Linked DNA regions of Caenorhabditis elegans. The protein of the gene in region 2 purifies or fractionates together with the protein of the main gene of each other region. This does not show direct contact. Each region holds a gene or a part of one and is shown on either strand. Other genes may lie near its edges.

Region 1 (4,005 bases), on a different chromosome or scaffold from region 2:
GATGCATTTCAACAAGATGAGCAACTGATGAAACAAGTTGAGTTATTGGAGAGTATTCCTAAATTTTAGAGAACTATGAATTGAAAATCATGACATGAAAACGTACAATTTCCATTCCTTGTTCAAATGGGTTTCCAACAAGATTATGCATTGGCATTGACATAACCATAGGCATTCCCATACCCATTCCCATACCCATTCCAACCTGTAAGACTATAAACTTTCAGAAATATCCTTTCATCGAACGTTGTGAAAATTGTCTAACAAATTTTTCTGAAAGATAATAACATTCTTGACAAAGATAGTTTCTCAGATAAATCAGATTCTAAAAAAGTTGTTGAAATTCAAACCAGTTACTGGACTCACTGGAATTTGTTGAAATATTTGGCAGTGACAGATGTGAAGAAATATAAAGTAAATCTGAAGATATGTGTACGTATTCATTGTTTGACACTTGAAAGTGACATTCCAAAAAGGTGGTAATTGGGAAAATGACTCAAGTTTTAATGTAGGTCATCCGGAAGGAAATAAAATGAGAATAAAAAATTTGAAGAATCTTTTATTTGTAGACTTGAAAAAACGGGTCAGTAAGATTCAGGATTATTGCGAATGATAAACCCATTCAAGCTGATTTTACCGAGATCCTCCACATTCACCAAATGATGACGAATGGCATATTCGAGAACTGACATTGATAAGAAGACAAACTGCTCGGCTTTCTGAAAATATTAATTTTAATCTAGTTATAAAGAACGTATCACCATGCAGGCTGCACCACGAAGCATTCGAAGTCTAGCAATTGTATCCAGAATATCAACAAATGGAGTACCAATTTCATGAGAGGCTGTCAGACGTTGACAAAGAATATCCAAAGCAACAAGAGTGCAGCTTCTACTGAATCCATCAAAACACACCAATGTCATTGGTGTCCGTTGACTGTCGTCAAAAATCTTCTTTTCAAGTCCCTGTTTTCTGAGAATTGTTCTCATATGGTTCATATCTGCCAATAAATCCAGAATATCAGATGGTTTCTGTGGATAACCAAGTTTTCCCCATCCACTATAGGTCAGAAGAATCACTGTTTTATGAGATTCGACACCTTTCTCAGAAATCTTCAGAACAGAAGAGTAAGTTGCCGGTCGAACTTTTCGAATGTTATCCAACTCAATTGTCATATCATCAATTACCAATGGTTCTCCAATCTTTACAGGCACAAATGGTTTTCCCTTTTCATCCAGGAGCTCGCACAGTGTCACCACAATAAGAGAATTACGATCGAAAACACACCGCCAAAATTGAGCAACACTTTCAGACATAGGAGACGGGGCGACAATGAATTTTCGAGTTTCACGATATCCGTCGATCCAACTTGAGTTGAGGTAATTATGACCTGAAATGTGTAGAAGATTGGATTTAGACGGGTAGTCAGAATCTAGACATTCCGTCTTTTTAGTGTCCCTTGTGACAGCCATAAGGGGGTATTTTCATATTTATTTTGATAGACGGTGCGCGATGCAGGCGAAGGTCGCCTTAAGGTGAGGCAGGCAGGTGTTTTGGCGCCTACATGAAAGACCTAACGCTTTTTTTCTGTTTTTGAACGTCAAACATTGAAATTCACGTACTGCCACCACATCAAGGCGTGGAACTAAAATAGAGATATCGTGGAATATTCAGTTAATTTGTTAAAATTTCACTAACGACTTGACATAAATTGCGATACTAAAATAATATAATGTAGTAAATAAATGTGTAATGACGTAACGCCCCACTAGTTTTACATATTTTTATTCTGAAGTTTTTGAATTACCTTGACGATGAACGGCTCGAACACGCGTCTGCTCGTAAACTTGAATTTCTCCAAATTTATTCAATTCGGGGTGATCAAAGAAAGCGTCAACAGTGCGAAGTCGTGACAATGGAAGAGACGAGAAATGTGAAAACTCTTTTCCGACAGAGGAAGTTGAAAGAAGTTTGATAAAAATATCCAGTGGACGAGTGCAAGCGTTTTTTGTGTTCAGATCAAATAGATACTCGTTTTTTTCAAGTGTCATACTGAAAATGAATTAAGCTTAAATATTATTGAAAACCTTGAAAACTTACACATGTCCACTAGTTAGATCGGCTGCACTATTGTAAGTGTGAAGACCAATAACTGATTCAGAAGAAAGTGAACCGTCACCAACCATTTTGTTCGAAATAGATTTTTTGAATTCTGAGGTTCTTTTTATAGTGATTTTTTTCTTATTATTTCAATATCACCACGTGCTTATTTTAAAAGTGAACACTTTTATTTAATTTAAATGCATATGTTTTGTTTTTGAACTGACAATGAAAATATGAAAATACAATTTCTACAAATAAATACGATATTTCAACACCGGACAACTACAAGCTCTGAAATTAAGCAAACTTATTATGCTGTTGAGAAACAAATATGTGAATGAAAGACAAATATAGGTTAATAGATTAATGGAAGGAGGTTACCCGTGGTAGATTTTTAAAGAACATTGCAAATTGAGGGGGAGGATTAAAACTTAAAATTATTCTGATCTTAAAATGTACAGGAATGGGTTTAGTTGATCTGGACGTTTGGCTGGTACTCGGTTGATTTCTGAAAAAATTAAATGAGAAATCAGATGATTTTTCTCAAAAACACACCTTGAACAATGCATTTTCTCCATTCATCGAATGTCAATTTTCTATCCTTATTCAGATCGCAAGTTTTGAAAAGATTTCTGGAGCACTGTCTGACATTCTTCCATTCTAACAAAACTGATTTAAAAGGTTTCCATTCACTTCTTTCAAGCACATTATTATGATTTATATTGAGTTGATTAAACTTCCATCTAATTGCTGAATCTCTGCTAACTTTTGTTGCATTTATTCCACTCATTATCATTTCTGATTTGAGAGTTGATACTAATCGCCTCAGAAATCGTGTTCTCTTCTTTTCCTTACACCGATTGTTTCTTCTCACTCTTTTTGGAGCAACTGTAGTTGTTGGAGTTTCTTCACATTTTGGTTTTCCTCTTGTTGTCGATGAGCCTAACTTTGGCTCTCCGGACAGTTCGTCCACACACCAACAATAAATTGAAACATCATAGCATTGCACTTTATCATATAATCTGAAAATTGAGTAAACTTAACAAATATGTATACGAAGAAACTTACAATGAGTTTTTTGGAGAACATGTTGGAATATAAATTCTAGCATCTCCGTCAGTTTTTCTTTTTAATGCTTTTCGTCTTTGTGATGCACAATCTAGACGTATAACTTCTTCGAATCTTTGACGAACAGACAAATCATTTGAGTCAGTAATATCCAGAACTTCTAAAAAACATTAAAGTTACAATTAACAAATTTAAAATCAGAAACCTACCAAGTCCCCCTTTCTGAACAATTGGATTCCCATTAATCAAGTATATCCAAGCCAATAATTGTAAAGACAAGTGTTCGGGCCGCATGAGCGACTGAAAAATATTATATTAAAATTAAGATAACGATAAAATTGGAGAAATATGTGCAAATCTCAAAACAAAAAAAACGCTGTCCGTTGAAATGTGAAATTGAGGAGAAGACGGAGGATATAGGAGGAGTAACCAGATTAGGTTGCACTCTTCTGCAATGCGTGTGGGCTGAAGATTCAAGTGACGTGGGTGTTCTTCTGGTTTAGGAATTCACACCTAATTGAGAAGATGTCTATAGTGTTAATTTAATAACGGAAATTTCAAACAAAATGGAGAGTTTAGAACCTGAGTGTTAAGATTCGACGTCACATTTCTTTTATGTTGTATTCTGATGTAATCGAATACAATTTTCCGGTTTCGAAACAAAAGTTGACTCTTCAAATGCAAAGTCCACAGAACTTCGAATTAGAAAAGGAAGTGATTTGTGAACTTTTTCAGGAGGTTTCTTGAAATATTGTATAAAAGTTGTTAGAAATAAACTTATGAAGGTTCAACTTCTCATGGTTGTTCAAAGTCTCTATATCCCGCCCAGATATT
Region 2 (5,116 bases):
AGTTTCCCCAATATCGGTGTAATGTTCTATAATACAAAACTGTTTGATTCAGACTTTCAGTCTAAGTCATCAAGCATTTTGACAATTTTAGGCACAAAAAATCAAGCTTATTTGATTCAAAACCTGGAAATTGTTATCGAAATTTATATGAATATATAATTTCAACAAAATTTTTGTAAACGCACACCTGGGTTTCAAATATTTTTTTAAATCAAGGTGAAATTTTTGCATCTTTCAGATTGTCTGAATATGTTTTCCAGAACAAAATTTAGATCAGAAGTTGCTAAAGTTGCCGAGGGCTAACATCTTCGACAACCGGCAACCCTGGCCGTCAACCATTGATCCATATATCATCCATATCAAATTCGTACTACTAATCGTGATCCATGAAATGTTGACGTGGTGTGTGTGTGTCTAATAAGCTTGGAAACTTGAACACAGAAGAAGCAAAAAAGGTTTTTGTGTTGATGAAAGATTGTTTGGCCGCGTTGTTTATCAGCTGATTTGTGATTAAATATTTGTGTTTAAAAAATGAAATTCAATTTTTAAAACTTCATTCTCATAGCAAAAATACAGTTCTAAGCCCGTCTGATCCTCCAAGTGAACAAGAGAGCTCCAAGAATTTTCCAGAACAAGATTACAGCCAAAATGACAGTATAATCCAACCACAAATGAGTTTCCTCAAATGCTTGTGCTTTGATGAATTCAATTCCAGTAGTACAATTACTGTCAATCGACATTTTCAAAGTAGCAACAGACGAGTTGGATTCACATCCCGAAATGGTGCTATTGTGATTGAAATATACAATAGTGATCGCCTCGAATCCGTATTTGTACCACGAAACCCATGCAAATGGCAAAAAGTACCAAGGAATTGCTTCATAAGTGATCATAAATCCACCGAAAACCATTAAAGGCACACAGACGATTGGAAGAACTGTCATTCCGGTTGCCAAGTGTCCACACATTGCAGCAAATGATTGTCCTGAAATTTAGGTATATAGAAAATTTTGAATTCGCGCGCTACAATTCAGCGCCGACCAATCAGAGACCCTAGTCACGCCCCTTACCCTGCTGATTGGTTATATGACTACGCTGGCCTAGTTTTCCACTTTCGCTCTCTTTTCTCTTCCATTTTAAAATATGAGAAACACGCAATTATAATTTGGAACATTTAAACGCTAAGAGGCCAGCAAGTGCGCCCTAATAATTATCGACTTACCAACTGAGCAAGCATTCAAACTGAGAAGAATATTGATGATCAAGTAGTTAGTAATAATCACAACACTATAGGGAAGACTAGTCATTCCAAGTAGAATACCACTAAAAATGACAGGGAACACCAGATATTGGATGCTCTGAAATTCCAAATTTTTCAAATTTTTTTCCAGATATCTATTGAAATTAACTCACATCCGCAGTAGTTTTGGCTAAATAATAAGCACTTGGAGAATACATATTCGCCTGAAACTCTCTGACAACAACTGGATAATCTTTCCAAAACACTGTCATGGCTGGCATCATGAATAACATATGCATCATTTGAACAGATACAAATGCAAATCCCTTGAAACTTGGCAACGATTTCTTGTCGATTTCCAGGCCATAGTACGTTGATCCAATCATGATGCTCATGATCAAAGTTTGAATAAGCTTCACCAAAAGGACCGATCGTTCACGCCACAGCTGAATCGAAGATCTTTGGAAGATGAAGAAGAACTGAGCAGTCCATGTTCGAGGAAACGTGAAAGGTGCAGTTTCAGGATGCTCACGACGCGACGAGCTCAGTGTTGAATGAGTTGATTGTTCCTTCTTCATAATGTCATGTTCCAAAACGATTTTCTCGATTCTCTTGTTATAATCGTCTTCCGTTTCGAAAGATTTGTGAGAGATCACACGCATAAAGTGATCCGGTGAGCTCACAAACTTTGGAATCGGATAGCCACATCTACCAAAGAACGCATCAACTTGCTTAGCGGGTCCAGCATATGCCACGTGTCCTTGCGATAAAAGGATCAACTGATCCGCCATATGGTAGACAGATGTACTAGGCTGATGAATGGTACAAATGACTGTTTTCCCTTCAATTGTTAGCTGTCGGAGAGCTTTGATTACTTGATGGGACATGAATGAGTCTAGGCCAGAAGTTGGTTCATCACAGAATAAGATTGGAGGATCGGTGAGAATCTGTAAATGTAAAATTTCCTATTCGAGATTCACTTGAACAACTTTCAAGTAGGGCTTCCATGGGAGGCAGGCACGGTTTTAGGGCCTGACGCCTGGAAACTCTACTTTTAAGCATCACCAAATTCCACTGCTCACCTCACAAGCAAACGCCAATCTCTTCCGTTCTCCTCTCGACAAGCTCTTCTCGGTCATGGTTCCGACTTTCGTGTTCTCACACTTTTTCAAGCTCATCATGACAAGAAGCTCATCGACAATTGAATCCAACTCGGTGGCGCCAAGTGCTGACGGTGAACGAAGTTTTGCAGCAAAACGAAGAGTCTCTCGGACTGTGAGGGTTCCGATGAACACATCATCTTGCTGAACGTAGGCGCTGAGCTTCTTCATCTCATTTGATATCATGTTACGGCTGTAATAGCGAAAAATGATTTATGCTCAGGTTCATATTGCTCAGGTCCTAAACGGAAGCTTGAAAGAAAAGCCTAAGTCTAAGCCGAAGCCGAAGCCTAAGCCTACACCTAAGCCGTAGCCTAAGCCTAAGGTTATGCCTAAGCAAACCCCACTAACCCGTTGATCATAATATCTCCATCAGTCTCAATGTTCTTCAAGTTTCTGCCAGTCAGAATATTCAACAACGTAGTTTTCCCGGCTCCAGACGATCCCATAATAAAAGTGAGCTCTCCTGGTCTTGCAACTCCATCAATCTTTTTCAGAATCTCCTGACGAACACCTTTCTTTTTGAGAACAACTGCCTGAATGTTTTGAAAAACCAATTTCTTCGCATTTGTCTTTACTTGGGACGGAATTCGAGCTGACTCAGTGTCATTTGTCACAGAAAGAGTCTTTGGTTTTCGGAATCTTTCACTCGAATGTGCCAATTCCTTCTCCACTTGTTCAATTTCAGACGCTACTGGCTGAAAAATTATCGAAGATTCCAGGTGTAAAAGTCTGTAAGGTTCATACCGTATCATTGATAAGAACCGGGATCGGAGTTGGCTTCGGAGTTGGAGATCGTGACTTTTGAGTGGGGTCCACATCCAGCGAGGTAATTAGACCCTCGTCTTCCACATTTTTAGGTTTTAGCAAAGGTTCTGAAAGGTTCGTTTCATATCGTAGAGTTAAGAAAACTTGAAAATCTTACCAGCTTCTTCGCTTTTGCTATCCATTTTTTCGATTTTCCGCTAGAATTAATATCGAAAACCGATTGCTTAATGAGGCACTCGTTGAGAAATAAATCAATTTTCAATGATTTCCCCCTCCTTTGACATTAGAACAAATAAAAAATAGGGGTTTAGGTTTTCAGAATGTCACGTTAAAAAGAAAAATTCTCAAAAAAGCTTTATTTCAAATTTAAATATCATCACTAAAAAATATTCATACAGGTTATAATATTCATAGGGTATACAGTAGGTTTGTAGGCAAGCATGAGGTAGGCATATAAACCTTCATGCTGTAGGTGTGTAAGCAGGAATGTGGTAGTCACAAAGGTAGGCATGCAGTAGGTACCTAGACCGGTAAGAAAAAGGCATGAAGTAGGCAGGCTTGAAATACACGAGGTCTAACATCTTCGGCAACCGGCAACCATAACCTTCACTCATTGATCCATATACCATCCCCATATCCAATTCGTATTACCAATTGTGATCTATGAAATCTTGACGTGGTGTGTGTCTAATAAGCTTTGAAACTTGAACACAGAAGAAGCAAAAAAAAGTTTTTGTGTTGATGAAAGATTGTTTGTCTTGCCGCGTTGTTTATCAGCTGATTTTCAGGTGGAAACTGAGTTTCATAACATCATTTCTCTTTCTCATCAGCGGAACTTGGTTACGTATATAGTTAAGTGTCATGTAATCATGGCGCCAATGATTTCATAAGTCAATTTTTAAATAACGATTCTATTGCTATTCCTTGGGTTACTGTAGAAGTCTTGGGTGATTAATTTATTGAAAGGTTACGGGAAAAAACATGAAACATTTCCTTTCAATTAAACTTGTGACATACATATTTATGTATTGAATTTAAAAATATTATTGTAAATATACACTAACAGGCTTGACTGATAAAAAAAATGCTGAATTTAAGTGAAAATTGTGCCCGATAACATTACGATATTCTGTATATTTCAATATGATAATCTTATTTTTTAAAACTAAAATTGATATTTAAATGTAGAAAAATATTTGTTTCCTTTCAAAATATTATTTATTTTTTATTGATAACTTTAAAAAAGACCTCAACTAGTGTCGGAAAGTTGTCGTTTGCAGTTAAAAGTGCCGTTAAACGTCGGCCATCTTTTTCAAAACTTTGACAAAAATAAATATTATTTCCAGATGGAACACATTTTTTTCTGCATTCATATATAACCTTTTCTTCAAAAAAGTTAGATTATCATATTTTTAAAAAAGTTTTTGAGTTGTCCGACAGTGATTTTCCCCCGGTAATCTACTGTTTGTTCCTATTTTTATCACAACTTTCTTGCATTCTCTTATTTTCTCTCACCTTTGTTCCGTTATTTTGTCATCCGATCATCTCTTTTTTCTGCAATGTAGAGGTTTTTGCCCACTGTCGGCACAAATATTGTTTGCTTTTGAAAAGTGCACGTTGCGATTTATTTAGGTGCAGGACACTGGGATCAAAATAATTGGTTGACTATTTTTTTGCATCATTCAATTTTAGAATTCTTTCGAAATTCTTATTTTGCCCTAAAACTTTAATTTATAAATATATTTTTACGTTTTTTCAGAAATTCTAGGCCTGCTTTTAAAGGAACATGTCTAAACGAAGGAGTCGGGTATTGCAGCGAACAACGAGGTACGGTCAAAATTTATTCCTTCGATGTTTTTTTTTAAATAAAAATTCCTTTCTCTTTTAATTTTTCTTGCTGTAAATCCCTTTTTATTTAGTTTTTTCAGCTGCAAAATATATTTGTGTG

The links. Proteins that work in one complex are often made in the same cells at the same time.
Region 1: the proteins of wht-5 (region 2) and T04F3.3 fractionate together in Caenorhabditis elegans (co-fractionation; one large-scale study listed by BioGRID). This does not show direct contact.

Annotation. Positions count from the first base shown.
Region 1 is NC_003283.11:11,757,128-11,761,132, reverse strand, and holds T04F3.3 (Tyrosine-protein phosphatase domain-containing protein), read right to left. Parts: upstream 2,199-4,005; 5' UTR 2,187-2,198; coding exon 2,101-2,186; exon of another isoform or gene 2,053-2,100; coding exon 1,808-2,052; intron 1,582-1,807; exon of another isoform or gene 1,437-1,581; intron 1,391-1,436; coding exon 762-1,390; intron 720-761; coding exon 585-719; 3' UTR 553-584; downstream 1-552. Other genes in the region: T04F3.5 (uncharacterized protein), read right to left, coding at 1-58, 107-205, 367-444; smoc-1 (Thyroglobulin type-1 domain-containing protein), read right to left, coding at 2,541-2,611, 2,659-3,125, 3,172-3,331, 3,381-3,465.
Region 2 is NC_003282.8:12,335,880-12,340,995, reverse strand, and holds wht-5 (ABC transporter domain-containing protein), read right to left. Parts: upstream 3,420-5,116; 5' UTR 3,351-3,419; coding exon 3,326-3,350; intron 3,276-3,325; coding exon 3,148-3,275; intron 3,099-3,147; coding exon 2,752-3,098; intron 2,594-2,751; coding exon 2,323-2,593; intron 2,188-2,322; coding exon 1,414-2,187; intron 1,359-1,413; coding exon 1,223-1,358; intron 986-1,222; coding exon 579-985; 3' UTR 538-578; downstream 1-537. Other genes in the region: F19B6.10 (uncharacterized protein), read right to left, coding at 3,630-3,803; F19B6.1 (Uridine kinase), read left to right, coding at 4,955-4,995.